Linked DNA regions of Rhinolophus ferrumequinum. The protein of the gene in region 1 interacts with the protein of each later gene in a biochemical or structural test. Links are inferred from orthologs where the notes say so. Each region holds a gene or a part of one and is shown in the gene's direction. Other genes may lie near its edges.

Evidence for each region.
Region 2: the proteins of PTX3 (region 1) and CFH form a complex in vitro, tested with the Homo sapiens proteins (3 studies listed by IntAct, with this or other methods). The link is inferred for Rhinolophus ferrumequinum from reciprocal best matches to the Homo sapiens genes PTX3 and CFH.
Region 3: the proteins of PTX3 (region 1) and FCN2 interact in a biophysical measurement, tested with the Homo sapiens proteins (2 studies listed by IntAct, with this or other methods). The link is inferred for Rhinolophus ferrumequinum from reciprocal best matches to the Homo sapiens genes PTX3 and FCN2.

The regions. Positions count from the first base shown.
Region 1 is NC_046285.1:81,822,003-81,829,367, reverse strand, and holds the start of PTX3 (pentraxin-related protein PTX3), read left to right. Parts: upstream 1-4,329; 5' UTR 4,330-4,505; coding exon 4,506-4,635; intron 4,636-5,092; coding exon 5,093-5,494; intron 5,495-7,365.
Region 2 is NC_046310.1:3,403,739-3,411,658, reverse strand, and holds the start of CFH (complement factor H), read left to right. Parts: upstream 1-4,912; 5' UTR 4,913-5,174; coding exon 5,175-5,232; intron 5,233-7,920. UniProt on the Homo sapiens protein: Glycoprotein that plays an essential role in maintaining a well-balanced immune response by modulating complement activation.
Region 3 is NC_046295.1:81,808,814-81,816,542, forward strand, and holds the start of FCN2 (ficolin-2), read left to right. Parts: upstream 1-4,696; 5' UTR 4,697-4,975; coding exon 4,976-5,069; intron 5,070-6,596; coding exon 6,597-6,710; intron 6,711-7,313; coding exon 7,314-7,367; intron 7,368-7,729.

The DNA.
Region 1 (7,365 bases):
CGTCTTCAGGTCAATAAAATGTACCATGTTCACAGGTTGTGGGGATTAAGATGTGGACATGTTTGGTGGGGGGCATTATTCTGCCTACCGTCACGATTACAACAATTTCCATATCTACGAGCAATAGGTGTTTCTGTTGCTCCACATCCTTGCCAACATTTGCTCTTGACAGATATTGTTTTTTCCCAGTCTGATGGAGTGTCAGAGGATACCACAGTTTTCTATTTTATTTTCCATTTCCTTGATTACTTGTGAGCACTCTCTTTATATGTTTAGAGTTCATTTCCTTCCCCGTGATTTAGCCTTCATGTCCTTTGCCTATTTTCAATTGGAATGTTTGTATTTTCTTATTGATTTGTAGCAGTTCCTTATTTATTCTAGACACAGATTTTTTTTAAATCAATTTTAAAGTTGCAGTCTTAATCTAGATGATTCTTAAAATTTCTTTACTTTATGGTTCATTATTATTTTTATTATTATTATTTGTTACTGAGACGTCTTTCTCTACCCTAAGTTCCTTTAAAACAATCTCCTATATTTTCTCCTAAAAACATTATGATTTTGTTTTTATATTTGTCTTTAATCCATCTCGAATTTACTTTTGTACATGTGAAGAAGGTATCTACTTATATATCATTTGCATGTTTACAAACAAATGTCCCAGATCCATTTATTAAGTAGTCAATTGCTTCCCTTCTGATTTGTAATACCCCTTTCATATATAAGGTGTCCCATGTGTCTGGGTCAGTTTCTGGGTATTTATCATACCTTCACCAATAACACATTTTCTTTACAACTTTATAATAAATCATTGTATCTCATAGGTCAAAATTTTTCACTTTGTACTTCAAATTCTTCTTGGCTCCTTCACATAAATTTTACCATTAGTTTGTCAACTTCCTTGCAAAACTAGATTGAGATTTTTTTTCTTCCACATTGAATGTATATACTAACTTAGGACAATTGACTTCTTTGTGAAACTGAGTCTTCTCACTCAAGGACGTGATATATTTTTCCATATATATATATTATATATATATATATATATATTATATATATATACATATATTACATTTGTCAATAAAGTATGTAATATTGTACTTTGTTTTTTTTTATTAAGTTGATTCCTAAGTATCCCATATTTGTTGTTGCTATTGTAAATGGAAGCCTTGCTTAAGTGTGTATTTTCAATTGTCTGCTGATAGTAAGAAAGCAACGGATTTTTGTATGTTGATCTTTTATCCAGCAAAACTTGCTCAATTCTCTTATTAATAATCTGTCTTTAGAGTCTAAGTTTTTTGTATATGGATAATTAACTCAGAATAATTGATGACAGCTTTTTGTTTCTTTCTGTTCAACTTTATTCCTTATGTTGCCCCCCCCCCTTTTTTTTTTGTCTTACTTTACTGTCTGGGACCTTCAACACTTTGATGAATAGAACCAGTGTCTATGAGTACCCTTTTGTTATCCCTGTTTTAAAGAGTATGTTTCTAAGGATTCACCATTATGTATGTATATGTTTCTATAGATTTTGGTATTTACGCTTTATCAGTTTAAGTTTCTGTTTCCTAGTTTGAACATGAATGAGTGTTGAATTTTATTAAATGACTTTTCTGCATCTGTTGACATGATTATGTGATTTCTCCTTTAAATTGTTAATGTAATAAATTAATAGATCTTCTAACATTTAATCAATCTTGTGGTCTTGGAATAAATTCAACTTGGTTCTGGCGTATTTGTACCCATATGTTGCTGGGTTTGTTTGGCTAATATTTTATTTAGAGCTTTTGCATCTATGTTCTTAAATGAGACTGGCCTGCAATTTCCCTTTCTTGTACTGTCTTTGTCTCATTTTGGTTTCATACTTACTAGACATATAAAAAGATTTTACCACATTCCTGCACACTCTATTCTCAGAAGCAGTCTGGTAAGATGGCATTTATGAGTTACTTGAATCTTTATTTAAACTTGTTTATGAAACCTTCTGGGTGATTCTCTATGTATTTCACTAAGTTGAACGTTAAATTATATAGTTTGTTTCTGTACCTTGTAGCAGTTTTTTTTCTTTTTTCTTTTTGGTATTGAATGATCAGTTATGATCGAAATAGACTTAGTTATGGATCTGTCAATTTCTCCTTATTATTCTGTGAATCTTGGGTATATATTTTTTGAAACTACCTCACTAGATAATTTTGAGATACCTTCCTGGTAAAGTGTTTCTTTTATCATAATTTAATAATTCTCTTTTGTCTTAAAATCTATTTTTAATTGATATTAATATAGTTATGTCAGCTTTTTCTGAATGGCATTTATTCAATATATTCTACCCTCCCCACTTCCTTTACATTTATTGCTTTCAACCTTTCTAGATTCTCATGCTTTACATATGGCTCTTGTAAATGACATATAGCTGGGGATTTTAAAACTATACCTATCTGACAACCTTTGTCTCTTAATTGGAAAGTTTATTTCATTAATATTTATAGTGATTATTGGTATATTTAGATTTATTTTTACTACATTATGTTGTGCTTTTTCATTTATCTTGCTCTATGTTTTTCTTCCCTCCTTCACTGCTTTCTATTGAATACATCAAGTTGTTTTGTTTTTTAATTCCCTCTATTCCTTCTATTTGGATGTTCTATTTCCTTTGGTTTCGGTGGTCACCCCTAAAAAGATAAACATTCTTTAACTAACAAAACAAAATTAATTAATTTCTCTATCATCCTGCTGAACAATGAAAAGATTTTAGTATACGCAACTTAAAGAGTACATTTTGGATTATTTTCTTAGATCTTTTTTCCAGTTCCCTAATATTCTCTTCAGCTTTGCCTCATTTGCCATTTAACCCATTTCTCGAGATTTAAAAAAAAATCAATTATTATTTTTTTAATTCTAGAAATTATATTAGGTTCTTCAAAAAATCCACCTAATCTTTTTCTTTTATCAGGTTTCCAATTCCTTTTGGTAGATCTTAAATAATTTAAACACACTTATTTTCTAGTTTCTAGCTGATATTTTAAAAACTGAAGTTCTTGAGGGAGGAGTGTCTAATCCTTTTGGGTTTCTGCTGATTGTCATTTATGGTGGATTATTTCCTCATATGTTTAAGTATTTTCCTTTGTGAATTTCTTTTTTACACTGGCAAATAGCATACATTTCAATTTGAAACATGTGAAGGCAGGCCCAAAGTCACAAACTTTTAGGGACTCTGTAGAGTTCCAACAAAGAGAGACATGCTTAATTCTCACTTTCTCATGCTAGGGCAGAGTGGGGCGATGCCTACTGAAATCCAATATGTAACTCTCTGAGAGTCCTGCTTTAGGTGAGGGTCTCACTTCTAACTCCCACCCTGGCCTAAGCTTTACTCCCACATGGTCATTAACACTTTGATTGTTATAGAACTGATAACCCTCTCCAGGGGGGCCCTAGCATCAGCTTTTGGCCTTACCATTCTGGTTTAGGTTCCCTCTCTATCTTCTGCTACTGGGTATTTCCCTTTTTTGGGGGTCAGGGGGAGGTGAACTCATTTGTACATTTAAAATTTCTCTTTTTATTATAATTTAAACACAGTTCTAGGTGTTTTGTACAGAAGAGTTTTCAGCTTATATAGATCTCCATATATTGACAGAAGGAATACCTAAATTTACTTTGAAAACATGACCTTTGACTCTAAGCCTAGTGGAATAATATAATTTTCACATAATATTAAGGTTATTAAAAACATACCTAAAATCAGTTTGTTCCTTTCCTGCATCTCTTTCTCATGTTAGGTTTACCAGCTTTGCTGTGCTGTCATTTAAAAATGTATGTTTATAAAAGTGTACTTGCAACTCCAGAAGGATTCAAGATGGAATAACTTGGAATGGACTTGGCTTGTAGAGCCACAGAAATTCTTTCTAAGTTGGTTTATCTTGGAATCAGAGAGTAAGTTTCACAGCTTAGACCTGTAAAACTGCTTCCAAAGAAGTGAAAAAAGTTTTCTGTACATAACGGGTTGTGAAATAATAAAAACGCACACAAAACGCTGAAATGACGATCTTGCTTTCACACCTCTATGCCTGCTGAATTATTTCTCCCCTAACCTCGCTCCTTACCCCTCCCCCCTTCATCCCTCAGTGCTACCAATTCAAGTTATAACAGCTACTCCTCAGGGGCACCGTTTTAGCCCATTTTCCCTCTCTTTCCCCTTTGACCCTCCTCCAATTAATTTGCCTGCAGTGTAAACCTTTGTGGTTTACTATTGTGTAACCTCCCTGTCTCTCTCGCCCTCCCACCCAGCCCCCTCCCCCGCTAAATTCAGGGGAACTCCCGTTACTGCAGTGCCACCGGCATTACTCATTCATCCCCATTCTGGCTTTCCCAGCGTTTATTAAGGGCTCTGGGCTCCTGCCTCTCTCACTCTCACTCTCCTCTGCTCAAACTCAGCTCACTGGAGAGGCTCTCGCTTGGTCCCCGCCTGCCAGCGGTGGGAAGTCACGGAAGAACTTTGTCTCTCTCCAGCAATGTATCTCTCTGCGATTCTATTTTGTGTTCTCTGGTCTGCAGTGCGCGCCGAGAACTCCGATGATTATGAGCTCATGTATGTGAACTTGGACAACGAAATAGACAATGGACTCCATCCCACTGAGGACCGTAAGTTCCTTTTAACTGTTTCTCTGCTAAGCCTAACTACACACCCACCTCTTTGGGTCTAAAATTTATACATATAGTTTGGAGCCAATGAAACGAGATAAAAATTATAGTTTGTTTTGCAAAAGAGAGAAGCACTTTAGGAAAGGGGGAGGTTTCAGAAAGTTCTTTCTGTCCCAGATATATAATGGGTTGAACCGTATGAAATTGCCGAAATTTGCCGTTTTGAGCTACATGAACGGTAATTTCACAGAGTTCAAATTAATATATACCTACACGAATGGTTTCTGTCATTCTCGAGATATTTACACGCTGTTTTTTTCGGAGGTGTCCTTACAGGAAAGGGGAGTGCTGGGTCGGGCCGTAACCTGGGACCACCGAGGGAGGTCATCTTTTTACAAAGCACATCCAAGGCAGGCCTGGGCGGGTTGGTAATGCCTGTGTGTCTCCCGCGCTCTAGCCACGCCGTGCGACTGCCGTTCGGAGCACTCCGAGTGGGACAAGCTCTTCATCATGCTGGAGGACTCGCAGATGAGGGAGGGCATGCTGCTGCAGGCCACCGACGACATCCTGCGGGGCGAGTTGCGAAGGCTGCGGGAGGAGCTGGGCCGGCTGACCCACAGCCCGCAGAGGCCGTGCGCACCCGCGGCCCCCGCGGAAGCCAGGCTCGCCCGGGTGCTGGCTGAGCTGCTGCAGGAGAGCCGCGACGCGAGCCGCAGGCTGGCGCTCCTTGAGGGGGCTAAAGCGCAGCGCCCGGAGGAGGCGGGGCGCGCCCTGGGCGCCGTGCTCGAAGAGCTGCGGCAAACGAGAGCGGACCTCCGCGCCGTGCAAGGATGGGCGGCCCGGCGCTGGCTGCCGGCAGGTAAGGACGCAGGCCTAGTAGGGACAGCCCTGCGGCTTTGTTCTAGGAGCGCGCGTTACTGGAAGTCAAATCAGGCCGCCGTCCAGAGGAAGCTTTAATGGGAGAAACACACACACACACACACACACACACACACACACACACACACACACACACGCCTCTATCTCTTCCTGCACGGTCACAGAGTCAGACACACCACGCAAGGCGGTGAAATTGGCTTAAAAAAGTATTCTCCAGTCCCACGGAACCCCCAAGATAGCTGAGGACAGGACGGTCATAGTCTTGAAATAGGCAAGGGCCCCTGACACCTGATACGACCAGGCCTTGCGGGGGCTCTATGGGCCAGTTATAATGGTGACCTCTCTAGCCGTCCAGCTTCCCTCCGTTCGGGATTTCCACTTCTTCTAATTTTAGCCTGCCTCTCTCTTTAGGGGAGCTCTGGTTCTCCGCGCTATTTCAGGGCCCAGCCTAAAGTTCGGGGCCCACCCTGGGCTCGCCTCTCCTCTTTGCGGGTCTGAGCAAGGGACTCGAGGCCGAATCTGATCTCCTGAAGGATTAGTGGAGAGGCCCCAGCCTCCGGAGTCTGTGGAATTAGCTGGTGACTAGAGATCCCAGAGTGCGCGCTTTGGAATAAACCAGCCCCCGAGGGATCCAAAGTGTAACAGTCAGTGTAGGAGCCAATGGTACCCCGGCCCCACCCCAGGGATTTGGAGGATCAGGACCAAACGAGAGAGGTGGTTCAAACCAGATGCAACTTGTCAGAGTCCCATGGGATATTCCATGAATCTCCAATTCATGTGGGTCCGAAATAATACATTTTAAAGATGGTTAAAAAAATAAAGATATTTGGAGCCAAGTAACACTCCTTTGTAAGTCAAAATTTCTAAGAAACAGTGATGTAACAGTCATTTGTGGGTTATATTAGAAAATCTGTGTCCTAGGTAAGAAAATATAATTTGCACTTTTCCTGAGAGTCTCAGAAACCAAAAACAATTGCAGTACTATCCTTCCCTCTATTTCCAGTAAAACAACTCTTATTGGGTGGAGTATGAGGAAGACTCATGAGCATGTGTCAGAGCATATTTCATTTAAAATTATAGAAACCATACTAGACTATTATTAGTCTTTCCTAAAAATTTGAGGACTGTTTATCAGTACAGAGTATATTTTCTTAAATATTAAGTAAGGTTTGGGGGGGGGGAAGAATAAAATCACATATAAGATAAATCCTCAATGTAAGTGACCAGGAGACAAATTATAATTCTGGGGCTATGTTAATGAATGAAATTTCTTGTCTTTTGCAAGCCATATAAAGTCATCGTACATATAATGTACCAGAAAAACAAGAATTACTTTAATTTTCATCTTCACCTCTGCATATTAGAACAGAAGAGGGATGTATTTCTAAATTCTAAAATGTTAATTTTTATTATATTCAATAATATAACACATTTACCTACAAGCTTTGATTTTTCCTCTCTTGGTTTTCTGCCAGCTTGGCTCCTAAGGGATTCCTAATTATTCTGTTGTTGGCCTCCTAAGAACCTGGTTTTCATTTTGTTTGGTCTTTGATAACATAATCAGAAAAACCTATTAGTCAAAAGCCATTTCATGAGAGAGTTTCTGACATTTTAAAGAGATACCAAGAGTCTCAATCACTGGTCCCCTAAAGAAATCACAAAAAAAACCTGCCAACATGCAGTTCCACTCCATGAACTCACATGGCCAGTGCCACCTACAGGGGAAACGGGGTCTCAGAGGCAATCAAGGAATGCTTTGGAATGCAGTCCTGACTGCCTGGGCTTATTTAAACAGGAAATCAGTTAATTAGATTGCAGTGGGCACCCTCTTGAACACTACTTTACTGAAAC
Region 2 (7,920 bases), on another chromosome or scaffold:
GTTAGTTCAAGGCCAACAAGCCTTCATTTAGAATTTGATTTTGGAGAATTTTGCAAAAAATATCAAAAGGTATAAAACACTTGATTAAATAGGATCATAGGTCGCTGTGAAGCAATACTTCATTATTTATTTAACCAAAGTGACAATTAAAGACAGCAAAGGCAAATACGAGGAGTTATATAGTTGTGAAAACAAAACAACAAAAAAAAAGAGCTCTCTTAATGGAGAAGAATCCATTTTCTTAAACAAGCAAAGACCTGATAAAGACCTCATGAAGCACAGGAAATTATTCCGATAAACACAGAATCTTTGTTTTCTAGGCAGATTACGTAAAACGTAAAGATAAACCTTTCATAATCTTATCAAGAACAGACCAACAGTCCAAGAAAACTCCATCCTTTTAGCAGAGGAAAGAAAATTCAGTCTCAGTTTTACAAAAGTACATTAATGATATTAAAGCTAATTTTTTTCTCTAACACAATTAAATAGAACATTTTTTTTTACCAAGTAATTTTGACAATACCCTCCAGAGATAGAAAAAACATCACATATACATGATGCATATCCACAGACATATGTAGACAGACAGACAGACACAACAGAGACCCCACAGCTTTCATTCCTAAACTTTAGCCATAAATACAGGACCCACTCACACGGCCAAAGCTTTTTACCAATGTTTGTGGATAAGACTTTCAAGATTTGTATTTGCCTTTGACAAATAATCTTATGTAGGCTGTGGACCGGATTTGGGGCAGGGAGCTTCTTAGCCGTCTGTATTTTGTAAAGCCTCTTTCTCCCCACTCCTTTTTTTATCTTCAGTCTCTGTGGGCAAATCTCTCCTGCGGTGTTTACATTTCAAAGAGATGACAAGATTTACAACTTCAAGGGACAGAGAAAAGATGCAAGTTTCCCCCTAGGAGTCTTAGGGTATATTTCTCTATTATCAGAAGTCTAGGGTGATTGCTATTTGTTTTCCTTTGTATTAGGGCTGGGACTGCATGAGGCCCTCCATCCTTCTCGGTGTCAGTCACCACAATGCCCTCCCCTTTGCTCTCCTCACTTTCCCAGGGATTCTTAGCGTCCTAATCAGGCTTTGTCACAAGAGTTCACACTCTAATCCTGGGCAGCTAGTGCCCCTTCAGCTTTGAAAAATGTCATGTGACGGTCTTCCACTTGACTTGTCATCCTGCTTTCCCACCTTGTCTGCCAGCCAGAAGCCAGCAGAATCATGGACAAATGCTTGTTCTTCTCTAACCGCAGCTCGTCTTCCAACTTTCTAATTGAGCTTCAGCCTCTAGTTGGGTGTCAGTGGCCAGCCAAACTGCCTGCGGTCGAGGCTGACACTGCAGCAGCCATTCGTTTATCTTCTTGGCTGCAGAGCATGATACAATTCCTCAAACAAGCACATTAAAGCAGCTGGCGCTTGGGGAGCATCCTGTACTCACGTGGTGGTCTCCCAGCATCTAATATATGGACCACCCCTCCCCGCACAGAGGTCAGTGGCCACCTCAGAATTTCCGCTGTGGATGCCTCTTTCCCAAAACCCATTTCTTCTGTCTCCTGTCTGGTTTGCCAGTTGTTGATTTGCAAACTGGCCCCTGTACACAGAGGGCAGGTAGAGACAGAAGAAAGAGGTAGACGGCTCCAGATTGGCAGGTGACAGTTCTAATAAGCAAGGGCACTTACTTACAAAGATGGTTTTGGCGTTTGCAAGTCCAGTAGGTCTTCACATCTCCCTGCCACACCTGAAAAGTCCGTAGAGAGGCCCTAACTGGGTTCTGCCATGTCTACTGGCAGCATCCCGATGGTTTCAACAACATGCTGTTCTCGCAAGGCTGTGTCCTTCAAAATAGCTCCCACTGCGGGAACGGTGGGCAGGGCGCACTTCCAAGGACAAGAGGGCAGCCCAGGTCCAGCTCCCCGGGCAACCGACGGTCACATCTTCTCACTCCCTCCCTTGCATTGCAGCACCCAAGTAGCTTTTGATATGATGTAAGTCGAATCAGACATCTAACCTACTGAAACATGGTCATGTACCCAGGCTAATTTTTACAGATGTTTTATTCCTTTTGACCCTTGAGTACATGTCAACATTTAAACAAATGTGAATCCTAAAGTATCGTTCCATATTTGAATTTCCTTTAAATGATGACACACAAGCTGACCTCCTTGGTTATACTGTGTTTCCCCGAAAATAAGACCTAGCTGGACAATCAGCTCTAATGCGTCTTTTGGAGCAAATATTAATATAAGACCCGGCTATATAATATAATATAATATATAATATAATATAATATAATTAATGTAATATAATATAATGTAATATATAATATAATATAATACCGGGTCTTATATTAATTTTAAAGGATGCATTAGAGCTAATTGTCCAGCTAGGTCTTATTTTCAGGGAAACACGGTATTACCTGGGTTATTAGTCATTTGCTTTCAACTAACTACACACCGTAGGCAAGACTTAATTTTTTTCCCCAAGAAATAAAAATTTCTGTCTGATATGTTGCATTACATAATTTGTCAGATATTTTTAGAAGGGTTAACTTACCAAAACAAATGCTAAAATGCAGCTTAGTATCATTACACAAACAGTTGCATTGTGTCCCTATGAGTCCTCGTTAGAGACGAGAAAAAGACCAATTCCAAGAGTTTTCTTTGCTCAGAGCAAAAATGGGTAACAATGTTTGGGAATAATTCACAGTTAGAGTCAGAAAGATTGGTGACCCTAGTGTTGAAATGTCCAACTGTGGAACCAGACAGCCTGGATTCTAATCTTAAGTAAATCACTTAAGTCACTTGCATAAAAATAGAAGGATCATAGTATTTTGTAAGGTGTATGAGGGAACTAAAGTAGGTTATACATTTAATACAGCTCCTGACACGTAAAATGTAATCATTAATCAGCAATTGTTGCTAGATCAGTAGAGCTTGGAAAGTTGAAGCACTTTCGGTCAGAGCCAAACAAGTGACCGCTCACAGATTCTTAATATAGCCCAGGAAAGACTCAGAAATGTGCAGTTATGTCGTGTGCTGTGCCCTGGATGAATGTCTGGGAACCTGGGAAACTGGACATGAGAAAAGGCAGCTGGCATGGCAGAGACAACTAATTTTTTCTGAGGGCTGAAAGGTTTTCTGAATGTCCTCCAACGGCACTGAGGAGGTTGCCAAGGAGATGGTAGTTTTTTTGTGTGTTTTTATTCTTTTTCCTCTAAGAGGGTGAATGATTTGGAGAGTTTGCAATATAGTTTTAGAAAAGCACCTAATAAAATAAATGCAATAAATAGGAATGGAGGCCCTTGTGTGTTTTCATTTCCTCCCAAATAGAATGAAAGAAAATGCACCATTGTCGTTCTTCTATGCAAATTATTAACTTGGATTATGCTAGCAGTGTCCCCTTGGGAAGAAGTAAAGGTACTAGCCTTTTAAGAAGTGGGAAAGGGAACTCTAGAACTCTTAAAAGGCTCCTCTATGTAAGTGAGGAGATATCCTAAAATAAATCGAAAAAGATGACCTTTATCTAGCTTATGCATTGTTTGTCGTGTAATCAAGGAGGAAAGACAAAAATTGCCTATGCTCTAGCTTGATCAGAAGTAGAAGTCAAGTACTGGATTTTTTTTTAATTGACTTAACTTTAAATTTAAATTTAAATAGTATTAAGTTGTTTGTGGCTGCCATTATAAGTATGATTCAGAAGCCATAGCTACCAAGGACCTATCATAAAACAATAACAACAAATGTCATGCAGTGTTTAGTTTCAGGAATATCAAAGGTGCAAAGAACTGTCCCTTTAAAATATGTCCTTAAGGCCACACCAGGGGATTTAGGTGCTGTAGATTTCATAGTATAGACTGACCTTGATTGTTACCTGCCACTTTTAATACTGCACTGTAATCAGGAAAGATCCAAATTTGTTGGATGTTACATATAATTTGAAAGTACCTCCCTAAAAAAGACCACAAACTGAGAACAAAAATTAGGTTGAAAGTAAATGTTTACCTAAAATTAGAGGGAAAAAAAGGAAAATTAAAATTAGAAATGAATTATTATACTCCTAAATCACAAAGTTGAAAAAATTGACAATACCACAAACATTATAAAAACTAGACACTTAACATAATATGTCTATTCATTAACTCTATCATACCTTCAATTTTTTACATTTTTGGTCGAACACTCTTTGGATTATCTCTTCACGTGACACAATTTTCTAATTTTCCTATATATAGGAAGTAGAAAAATAATTCAGTCTTTTCTTTAGCATGTTTGATTTTAAATCTGTTACTTATTATTGAAATATTAGACAAGTCTTTCCAAGTTCACAACTGATGATTTGTGTCCTATAAATTTTCAGGGTTGTTGTCACATTTTGGAAAACCTCTGTCAAGTTTTCCTGATATAATGGACTATAAGATTTCAGGGCATTAAAAGAGTTCATATGCTTCGGCTAATGCTAAATAATTCTTTGTAAATAGTATTGTAAACTAGTTTGCTCTCAATGTCACCACTGTAGGGACCAAGTGCCTAGTCATCGTGAACCTGTTGCTTCCCACACATTTATAACAAGTCTTTAGAAGACTTAATTCCATGATTGCAGGAGAAGCAGGCCTCCCCCAATCAGCCAGCACAGCGTTCTCGGCCAAGTTCACCCACGTCGTCCGGGGCTCAATTGTGAAAGCATTGCCTAAGCTCCAGTTCCATAATGATTTTTTAAAGAGTTGCTATTATTTCATCTCCTGATGTTTCCGCACAATAGACCTGAATGGGGTTTGAGTAATAAGGTTTATGAATCCAGAGGACATCATCACCAGTCACTGCTTTGCCCATTCCAGGAAACTGAACAGGTTCCAGGGAAAACTTGCCTGGGTTTATAAAAGCAAAGCAAGAGCAGGTCACAGTGTTAACACTCGAAAGGGGACACAGGGAGAGCCTGTGAAAACTCGGGCACTGCTGGGGCCTGTGGATGATTTTTTTTTTCTTTCACTTTGTAAACGTTTCTGATGGGCGGAGCATTTAGTCATCTCTTCATTTCCTAAGCTGTGTTTCAACTTCCTTCTGGAGCGAGTCCTTTCCTGCACTAATCACAACTTTTTACAGAGCAGAACCTGACAGTGTGTGAGCCAGTGTCAGTTATTAAATGTACCCCTGACAGATCCCCCAAAATGAGATTTGCAGCAAAAATTCTGTGGCTTATGCTATGGACGGTTTGTGTGGCACAAGGTAAGAGGAAAAAAGAAAAACTTTTTTTTCTGTAACTGTGTTATCAAACATTTGCTAATGTGCTTTCCATTGTGGTAATAAAAATCTGGTCTAGAAAATGTGATTGAATTACTTCCCTGTAGCTTACTGTTTGAGTGACTTTTGACATTATGAAGTTTAAAACATGTAAGCAGCTTATTTGAATGTCGTTTCTGATTATTTGGCACAATTTAATTTAATGTAGAATTCCAGAAAATGTCTTAATAAATATTTTTGAAAACTATAATTTGCATAATCTCTTCCCTTGTAATTGTCATAAAATATAATGTACTTTATTTGCTTAGAATTTTCAACAAAATGCTTTATGTGAAAGTATTAAGAAGTAGGTGACTATAGATAGAACCAGAACATATATTAGACAATAAAAGCCTCCAAATCATATAATGGTTGGACTTATTTTAGATAAAGAATTTAATTCTTCCTAAAGAAATATTCATTTATTATTTAGAGCTGATGTTGCCTTGACCTTAATAGTTTTGTAGACGAGCATTACTTGTATCATTAGAATGAAAATATTATATAAATTTGAAAAAATAATTGAATGTGCAGTCTTTGTAACACCTGAGTTGTCCAACAGGATTTTTTTTTCCCGTGGGTCTATATAAGATACATTCTAGAAGAGCACTCTTTAGGTATAGTGAATGAGTGTGGGAATTTTTTTCTGATATCAGTAAGACAATTTCTAGATTCATAATTAAATTTAATTCTATCACTATTTCTCGATAGATTATTAATCTTGGAGGAAATTTGCTTTCCCAGTTCATGATAGGTAATTATGTGATAGTAGATGGACATTTTTAAACCAAATGAATTACATAGCATTCACATTCTCAAAACTTTTCTCTAACTCAACAAACTTTGAGTGAAATTCTTATTCACGTCAGCCTCTAAGCATTGAGGAATATTAGCAAATAACACAGAACCTCTGTCCTGAGGACTTTTCCATCTAGAAAATAAAGGCACATATCTTTTTTTTTTCAATTGTATCCTTTAGTAATGTATTTGCATTTATTCAAATGTGTTTAATATTTTTTGAACACTAGAGCCTTTTGGTAGTTATGCATTCTAACATACTAGAGCTTGATTTTTAGCTTGTACACCTTCTTTCCAGCCACTTTTTAAACTAAGTACATCATCATTTCCCTGCACATATGAATATGACAGTTAGTGTTCAAAAGTGAAATTATTATTTATTGGCAGAGAGTTCCAGAGCAATGTCAGTGTTACTACATAGTCATTACAAATACCTTTTTCTTTGCATAAGTTTGGTTGTCTTTTCTTTAATAGGACTACTTTTTGCCTTTCAATGTGTACATATTGTTTGCTGAGGTTTTGTGTAGATACCATTTGTCACGGTACGAAGACTTGTTTTATGTCTAGCTCATGTTTAAAACTGAAGGATCATGCCAATTTTCATTAAACCATTTCAGTGATTACAAAGTGGAACTTGAAACATTATATAAAATTGGGTGCTACAAAGTATAAGTGACAAAAATTAAATAAAAGGGGTTTAAACTCCTTTCTCATGTAATTGATTCCAGGGTACTTACTTCACTTGTGTTTTATATTTCGTCGATGTTTCTTTAAATGTGGTGGTTTCTGCAGGTGAATTGAGCCCTATACACTAGGGGTGCCAAAAAAAGGTGTATACATTTTAAGAGATGTTATGTATGTTCAAGCAGTAGTTTGCCGTCCTCAAAAGTGTCTGGACACTGACGGTAACCACTCTGAGCACCTCTTGTCATTACAGAAGTCAAACGTGACTTATATTCATCTTTTATTATTGGTATATATTGAGTATTACAATTTTAATACAGTTTTCTTTTCTTAAAATGTATACATTTTTGGCACCCCCTGTATATTACAATAAGAATGACTTTAAGTCTGGCTCCTTTTTAACAGATAAAGTATAACTTTCATAGTTAAAGCAACACTTAATGATTTTCACAAATGCACACATAATGCACAAGCTGGTAGAGAAAGATGACATGAATTTTCAGTGGATGGAAAATGGCTGTTGTGTTTTTTATTTGCCAAACGGTCCTGAAACTAAATTGGCTTACTGTGAGTTATTATAAGTTTTTATAACTTTTCTGCAACAGTTTTAGTAGGGGAAAGGTCAACATGGATGATGAAGAGGTTAAGAAACAGACTATGCAGTTCTGGAAGAGGTATTGCCAGGTAAAATAGGTCTGATGGATGAAGTGTTACAGAGAGTGCAGGATGCAGAAAACAGCCATAGGAAGACTGCGAGAGGGAGCCCAGTGCCCAAGCAAGCCTTGTTATTTGAAGTTGAGGCATATGCTGGAAATGCATATGCTCCTCTTTTGCCTGCATAAATGTTAACCTCGACCTGAATGGTTTAAGTATTGCCAAAATTATTCTTAGCCAGAAGTAAGTTCCCAAATATAACTGGAGGCCCAGGTTAGTAAAGATTCTTCATTTTGGCTTTGATTGCGATAGCTGGAACCAAAGTCTAAGTTGATCCATTTTTGTTTGCTCAATCCCTGATTGATTCTGCAGCCTGTGCCGATTTCCTCCTTCCCGCTGTGCCTCCCCCTCCTCGCCACACACCCTCCCCCACCTGCCTGGCCTGTGACATTCTGCCAACCAGTCCATTCAACTAATGTGCTCTTCAGCCATTTCTTA
Region 3 (7,729 bases), on another chromosome or scaffold:
CATGTGATACAGGGGACATTGCTCAAGGAAGGGGAGGCTTATTAGGCTGGGACTTAGTGTCAGAAATCTAGGCCACTGCAGTGGCTGGAGGTTGGGGTGGAAAATCCTGAGAACAGGAACCATATGGGGAAAACCCTAAAATCTGCTTACAAGACTCTATTACCGTTGGCCGATGATGGCTGGTCTGAGCGTGCGTGAGGTGAGCGGCAGTCACCTTCCTGGAGGGAAACCGCTGGAAGGCTGTCACAGCCGAGGGAACATGTCAGCACTTCCCAATGTCAGGGAGGCCGTCTGCATTCAAGTCCCATCATTTTACATGGATGTGATAGACACCTCAGGCTTTTGGTTGAAAACCCAGAAGACCAGATCCTTAAGTAAAAGGACAGTATCCCAGGACGAAACTTAACCCCATGGATTAAAGACAAAATAGAGCCACCTGAAGAAGCCCAGAGCCAGGACCCCCAGGATCACAATGACCCCCGCTGCCTGCCAGCACCAGCTCAGCTCCCTTCTGAGGAAGAGCACAGGGGCACAGTGTCTCGCACAGAATCAAGACTTACTAGACACACAAAAGAAGGGGAGTGTGACCCATGATTAAGAGGAAAAGGTCAATGGAAACAAGTGAACAGGGCCTTAGATGTTGGAATTCACAGACAAGGACTTCAAATAAGTAGGACAAATATTTTAAATAATATGGATGGATATACCATGTTTCCCTGAAAATAAGACCGGGTCTTATATTACGGTTTGTTCCAAAAGACGCTTTAGGGCTTATGTTCAGTGTATTTCATCCTGAAAAATCATGCGAGGGCTTGTTTTCCGGTTAGGTCTTATTTTCAGGGAAACACAGTAATAGTTGAAGAAATGGGGGATTTCAAAAGAGATAAGGAAAGTCTAAATATGAACCAACTACAAATATTAGGAATAAAAATTGCAATATCTGAAATAAAAAAAAATTCATTGAATGGACAATGCAAAAAAGGATTAGTGACTATGAGAATGTGTTGAGTATGAAAACATGCTGATCCAGTACCCAAGTGGAAGCGTGGAAAACAAAGGTTATCAAACAGGTGAGGAAGGCCGGCTGTAATTACCAAAGGGAAGGTGTCAAGCAGACCGAAAGGGTACAGTGGGCATCCAAAGAAGAGAGAGAAAGAATGGGGCAGAAGAATATTTGAAGAAACGTTAGCCAAGAATGTCTCCGTTTGACCAATAGAATGAATCTCCAGTGAAACCCGCCATTTCTAAGGTGAAGAGAGACAAGCATTCCTCATGTAGAATACAATTCTAGCACAACTATGATTCCACAGTGGAGGTGACATAAAGACACTTTCAGGTAAGTGAGAGCTGCGAGAGGTTGTTGCCACGTTCCTAGAAAGCCGGGAGTTCGTTCTTCTGGCTGATGGGAGATGATGCCAGACGGAAAGGCAGACCCTTAGGAAGAAACGAAGCAAGAATGGGAAGTACGAGAATGTGTATCAAATACTCCTTCCTTCATTTAAAAATGTTGTCAAGAGACAATTGACTTTAAGACAAAAATAATAAAAATTCAAGGTGGGGTTTATAGAACAGCAAAACCTATACCCACAGTAGGAAGGATTGTGGGAAGATTCATCCATGACATGCGAAGTGCTGTCGTGGTCACTCGAGGGGGACAGTGATCCTTGAAAGATGCACAAGGAAATTCCTGACAACCACTAAATGGAATACAAAGAGGTTGAACCAAAAGTCAAGGCAGGGGCAGCACAAAATACTAAAGCACAACCACATCCAACAAGTACAGTCGGTGTCGAGAATCAGCTGAGAAGAAGGAACAGGGCGTGTCGGCATGGACGAGAAAAGCGCGTGTCAGCAACACACCAAGCTTACAGGAAACGCACAAATAGGATGAAAGTTCATGAAAGCAAAAACACACACGACGCAAGCAGTGACCTTGACAAACGCCCTCTCTGATAGTCTCAGCCCATTGTCTCGATGCTCAGCAAGACAGTTTCCAGTCACTCACCAGGCTGAGTGTCCCTGGTGGTCACACGGTGGTTCACGGCCGACCAAAAGTGGGCTGAAGGGTGAGAGACATGTGAACGCCAGGGCCCACGCTGCCTCTGCAGCGTCCCCCATGTTCTGTTCCCCTCCGGTTGGCGGGACTGCAGATGACCCTCAGGATAGGGGTCATGAATGGGAGGTGACAGACACAGGCTGGAGGAGGTGTGGGTCCGGGGTCGCGGCTCAGAGGAGAGGTGCTGGCCGGGAGCACCCATATTCACCTGTTAGGACGATTGCGTGTGAAGTCACAGAGAGTTCTGCTTTTACGTCTTGCATTCTGATGAACCGTTGACAATATACTCTCTGTATTTCCTTTGGAGTGCACACTGCTTCCTCGGGGATCGGATCACACCATTTTTCTGTATGTGTTTGTCTATTTGTTTATTTTCTGTCTTCTCTCAGTAGAACCGGTTCCAGGAGGGCAGAGACCTGTCTGCTTTGTGTCCCACAGTGTCACAGGGCACAGACCAGCCTCTGGCACATAGCAGGTGCTCACTAAACATCCCTCTCTCCCTTGCTTGTGAAGCCTAGTCCCCACGCACTAGCCCCTGGAATGTTTCTGGAGTACCAGCAGGAACAGAATTCTGAAATTCGGGAGTGAGGACAGACCCCAAGCGTAAGGCAGCCAGTGACAGGACTTCAACTTTTGATCATTGTCCGTGAGTCAACCCTTCACTTATGTGGGTGGCCTTTCGGCTCCAGAGGGACCCTTGGCAATGTCTACTTCCTGTGTAGGGGCCATTAGAGCTGCCGGTTGTGAGTGAAGGGGACACTGGGCCAGAGGCCGAGCTCCTGCACCCTTCACCCTGGGGGAAAGCGGGCACCTGCACTGAGCCAGAGGGCGGGTGTGGGAGGAAGGGAGGGGCCTGTGGGGAGATCAGCGGCCCACGCTGTGTGGCCCCAGGCAGCCTCTTTCCTTCTCTGGGCCTCAGTTTCCCCACCCATAACAAGTGGTTCCCTCAAAGGCACAATAGCTGAGCTGTGCCCCACCCTTGCGACGCAGGCTTGTTTCTCCTCGATCGTGTTTCTCACTAAGTGTTGTATCCTTTCTTGCACGGAGAAGATCACTCAGTGTGTCACCACCTTTTAAAATTAATTTAAATGTCATTTGTTCAGTTTACTAAACGTATAACTTCAAAAGTCCAATGATTCCTTAAGCATTTAAGTTTGACTTGTAAACTTTATGTATAACAGGAAAATTTTAATAACTTCCTTCAAGGGACCGATGAATACTTCTTGTTCCACTCAGTGACTTAGTTAATTTAACAGCTGTAAGCATTTTAATTGCATTTAGAAGATGAATATACTCAAATTTGTGCTGCAGCGTTTCAGTTGTCTACCTTTAACAAAGCCTCCTGAGGATAAGCTAATTTTCGGAAATCTAATAACATAAACATGGCATGAACTGAACTGCTCCGAAAATGGAAGCGCGGTAAGACCTCTAGTACGTCACTAGCTTGTTCCATTACTCAAGTTCACATTTTCAGTGAGCTTATTAGGTTGTCACTCTAATAGGACCAAATGCTCTTAAATATCGCCAACACTCAAAACACCAACTGACAGATTCCTTTATGCTAAAATATCAACACTGCGATTTTGAGTGTCCCGAGCTGTCTGCACTCAGTGGGAAGCTCGGTTCAGGAGCTAGAAGTCCCCACGACAGGCAGACAGACTGTCACACCCGTCTTCCAAGGCCCCTTCCCTACAACGCTTCCTCGCCCTAGAGGCCTGTGTCTCCTCCTCCCCTAGGAAGAGCATTTTAGTCCTGAATTCTAAGCCACAGGGTGGTTACCCATTTCCCCTGAGCGGCTCCCGTCTCCCGTGTGTGCAGGAAGTCAGTGTGTTCGTGAACGTGTTCTCCTCCTGTTAGTCTCAGGTTGCAGGACTCAAGAACTCAGAGGACACGGGGCCTTTCTTGTCCTCCCTATGATAGGGACGTCACAGTGTCCGGCTCACGGACCCCAGGGACTCTGAAAGGGGACAGATGGAACCTTGATCCTCACGTGGTTTCGTCGGACGTGGGGTCAGGATTCTAACGTCACACCTGGACGGGGGCTGTTGGTGGGTGGGATTGGGGGCACAGACCTGCCGCCTCCGTCTCTAACTGGACTCAACCCCAGGAGAGAGCTCCCTTCAGGATGTACCAGTTCTCTAGGGCTGTGGAAAAGGCATTGAGACTCCTGGTCTGCCTGGTCCATCCCTGGCTGGGGTGGGTGTCAAATGGCCCTCAGGGCAATTTAGTGCCACCTCCGCCGCCACTCCCCCACCCAGCCTGAAGCTGCCCCAGTCTAGTTCACGTCTGGCCTCTTTATAGTGCTGGCTGGACTGGCACTTGTCTGTCAGTGTCCCGGGGCCAGCCCCTAGCCGTCCTGGCCTGGCCTGGACGTCCTCCCCCAGGTCACATCCATTGCAGTCAAAAGCCACCCCCCCTCCCCAGACGTTATGCTCTCCTCTCTCTCCCCTCTAACCACCCTAAACGCCCAGGGGACGTCTCAACCTGTGTAGACTTGAACGCATTGTATGCAAATAGCCTCAGTGGGGTCCTGCCAGCCCTGTCCTCAGGGAAGGTTGTCGACAGCTCTGCGTTAGGAGGGGAATGGCTTGGGCTTCTCTAAAGACACAAATAGGCAGGCGGGCCGGCCCTTCCCCACACTGGACCTTGGGACGGCTTCTTGCTGGGAAGAAAGTGTCCCAGCTAAGGGGAACTGGGGTCAGTACAGAGGAAGCTCACTAAACAGCTGCTCACTCAGTAGTGTGTGGGGTGTGGAAGATTGTCCTCTGAGGCATCTCCACCTTCGGGTGACGCCACAAGCTTGGGGGAGGAAGTGGCCGTCCCCACGTCTGTCCCCACCAGGGTGACAAATAGAGCCAGAGGTTGGGGTGGCTGCAGCCCTATAAGACAGAGATCTCCTCGGCCGCCAGGACCAGCACGATGGAGCCGAGCAGAGCAGCAATGGCCATGGGGCCCCTCGTGCTGGCCATCACCTTCCTGTGCACTTCAGCCTCCACTGCTGACACATGCCCAGGTGAGTCAGACGCCAGGTGAGTAGGACCTGAAAATGGTCAGTTCTGAGAAATGACAGCCTCCACTCACGGACGACCTACTGTGTACCAGTCCCCATGCCTTTTCGAACATTCTTTTCTTCCTGAGACAGCGTGTTTTAAGCACTGTCTGCAGGAGTTGCTCCTCAGGTTTTCCACGGAGGAGCGAGAGTCCCACGGCACAGGCTGTGTGAGGAGGCAGAGCCGCCCTGGTAGATTTTGTGTCATTATCACCGGCACTGAGAAATGGCCCAGAAGCTCCCACCAAGTGCTGTGGGACTTATGGTCTGGGACCTTCCTGGCTCTGGGGACAAGCAGATCCCACTCTGTTCCTGAGGTGACAGAGCAAGGGTGACATTGTCCCGAAGGGCTCGAGACCTCCGTCCCTCGCCCATTGTCTCACAGGCCTGGTTCCACCCCCTCCCGCCTGGGGAGACTCTGGACCCGGTGCTTCTCAATCCCACTAGAGGAGGTGGCTGTGAGCCAGGACCCGGGGCCACCATGAGGGGCCTCGTGTGCCCTGCTGTCACTAGCCTGGTCCAGGTGGGACTGACTGGGAGGAATTGTTTCTACCATGTAGAGTGGAGAAGAGCCGGAATGAGTCAGGAAGGAAACACACATGGGGGCCACTTCACTGGTAATATCATGGGTGATAATTTTCTTCCCTAAATGTGTCTTATTTTCTAAATGTCTAAAATTGCCAAGTATTCTTTTCTAATGAGCAAACATTAAGGATTATGAAAATGAAGTCTACATTGGTTCTGAGGAGTGAGGACCAGGCAAAGACAGACCAAGTGACGACCCAGCTGGGGCCCCACTGGGGCACGGCGTATTTCCGTATTCACTAAGCTGTCTCTTAGACGGGTGTTTTGGTTTTGTAGTCAACACACTGAAACTCTGAGAAGTAAATGAATCTCTGGTCCCGGTTCTGCCGGACGGATTTCCTCTGTGTCCTAGGATCAAACGCGTCCCCTCTCCAGGGACCTACACAGACCCCTTTCAGCTGAGGAAGCCCCTGGTCACGTGCCCAAGGATTGCGGGTGACAATGCTATGTTGACCCAAATGCCCCAAGTCTTATAAATGTTTATTGTTATTATTTATTAAAAGTATCCGCTGTTTATGAAGTTCTTTCTAAACACCATGATTTATACTAAGGTTTTTTAAATGTGCATCATCCAGGCTAACCCCCCCAAGCCTCAGTCTTATCCCCACTGGCAGCCGAGGGGACAGAGCCCAGAGGGGCTGAGTGATTCGCCCGAGGACACACAGCGCTGAGGAGCTGGGTTCCTCAGGGAAGGAAGGACTCCAAGGGCTCTGCATGTGTCACTCCCACCGCCCAGTGTCCACCAGAGGCAGGAAAACCTCACTTGCAGGCTGCCCCTCATTTGGCGACCGCCATCAGCCCGGGCCTGAGGTCACCTCGGTGGCAGATGCCCTCAGATGGGGCAGCCTGTTTCCGGCTGTCCAGGGCCCTCAGGTCAGCACTGACTGGCCCTTTGTGTCTCTGCAGAGGTGAAGCTGCTGGGTCTGGAGGGCTCCGACAAGCTCTCCATTCTCCGGGGCTGCCCGGGGCTGCCCGGGGCCACAGGGCCCAAGGGAGAGGCGGGCACCGCAGGAGGGAGAGGTATGTGCAGGGTGAGGGGGGGGGCCCCTGAGCTCTTGCCCTGTTAGAGCCATGTCAGAGTTGGGCAGTGGCCCTGCGGTCTCAGGTGGGAGCTTGGGTCTTGCCCTGCTCAGAGCCAGCGTCCACCCGGGGGTCTGACACTCCCTTAGTTGGGAGCCAGTCTCTTAATCACCTATCGAGCTCTGTGTGTGCTTTGGCAAGAAATAGTGTTGACCCACCCCTGCTCTATGTGGACGTGGCAAGACCCTAATTCTATGTCCCTCTGTAGTGTCACCTGAGCTCTGGGGCTGAAAGTTTCCAGGTACAGACTTCCGATGGGGACACTGAAGCCATGGAAATTAGGCAAAGTCCCCAGGTTCTCTCGGTGTGGGGCAAAGCTGGGACTCGGGCCCCCAGTTCCCTGGGATAAGCTCCTAGTCTCCAGGTCGTGGCCTCCGACGGGACCCCTGTGAGGATGGGGTCCAGGCACCCTCCCTCTCGTTCTGCAGGGTCCAACCTGGGGGGCCACAGCCACAAAAATAACCAGGAGCAGCGACTCCCAGCCTGGGGATTCGGGTCCTGGGACTGGGAGCTGGACTCAGTGATGTGTGTTGGAATTTGCAGGAGAACGAGGTCCCTCCGGAGTCCCTGGGAAGGCAGGACCGCCAGGGCCCAAAGGTAACAACCTGATGGAGAGGAGAGAGGACAACCTGGCAAGAGAGAGAGAGGAGAGGGCACTTCTGGGCTGTGACAGGCATCGTTTCCAGGGAGCCAGACCCTGCCCCCCGGACGCTCGGCTCAACCTGGGGCTGGGTCGGTGTCAGAGCCCCTGAGGGAGCCAGGACAGGATCCTGACCTTGGCCCAGCACTGACCCCTGGCCCTGAAGGAACACGTGGGTGTCTGTGTGCCCCACCAGCTGTCCCCTGCCCCGACCTCACTCCAGCTGAGGGAGGGGTTTGGGGACAAGACAAGCCCTTCTCTGGCTGACCAGGCGTTCGGGCATGAGCTGTGCCATCTCCCCGCATGGGCTGTGCTGACC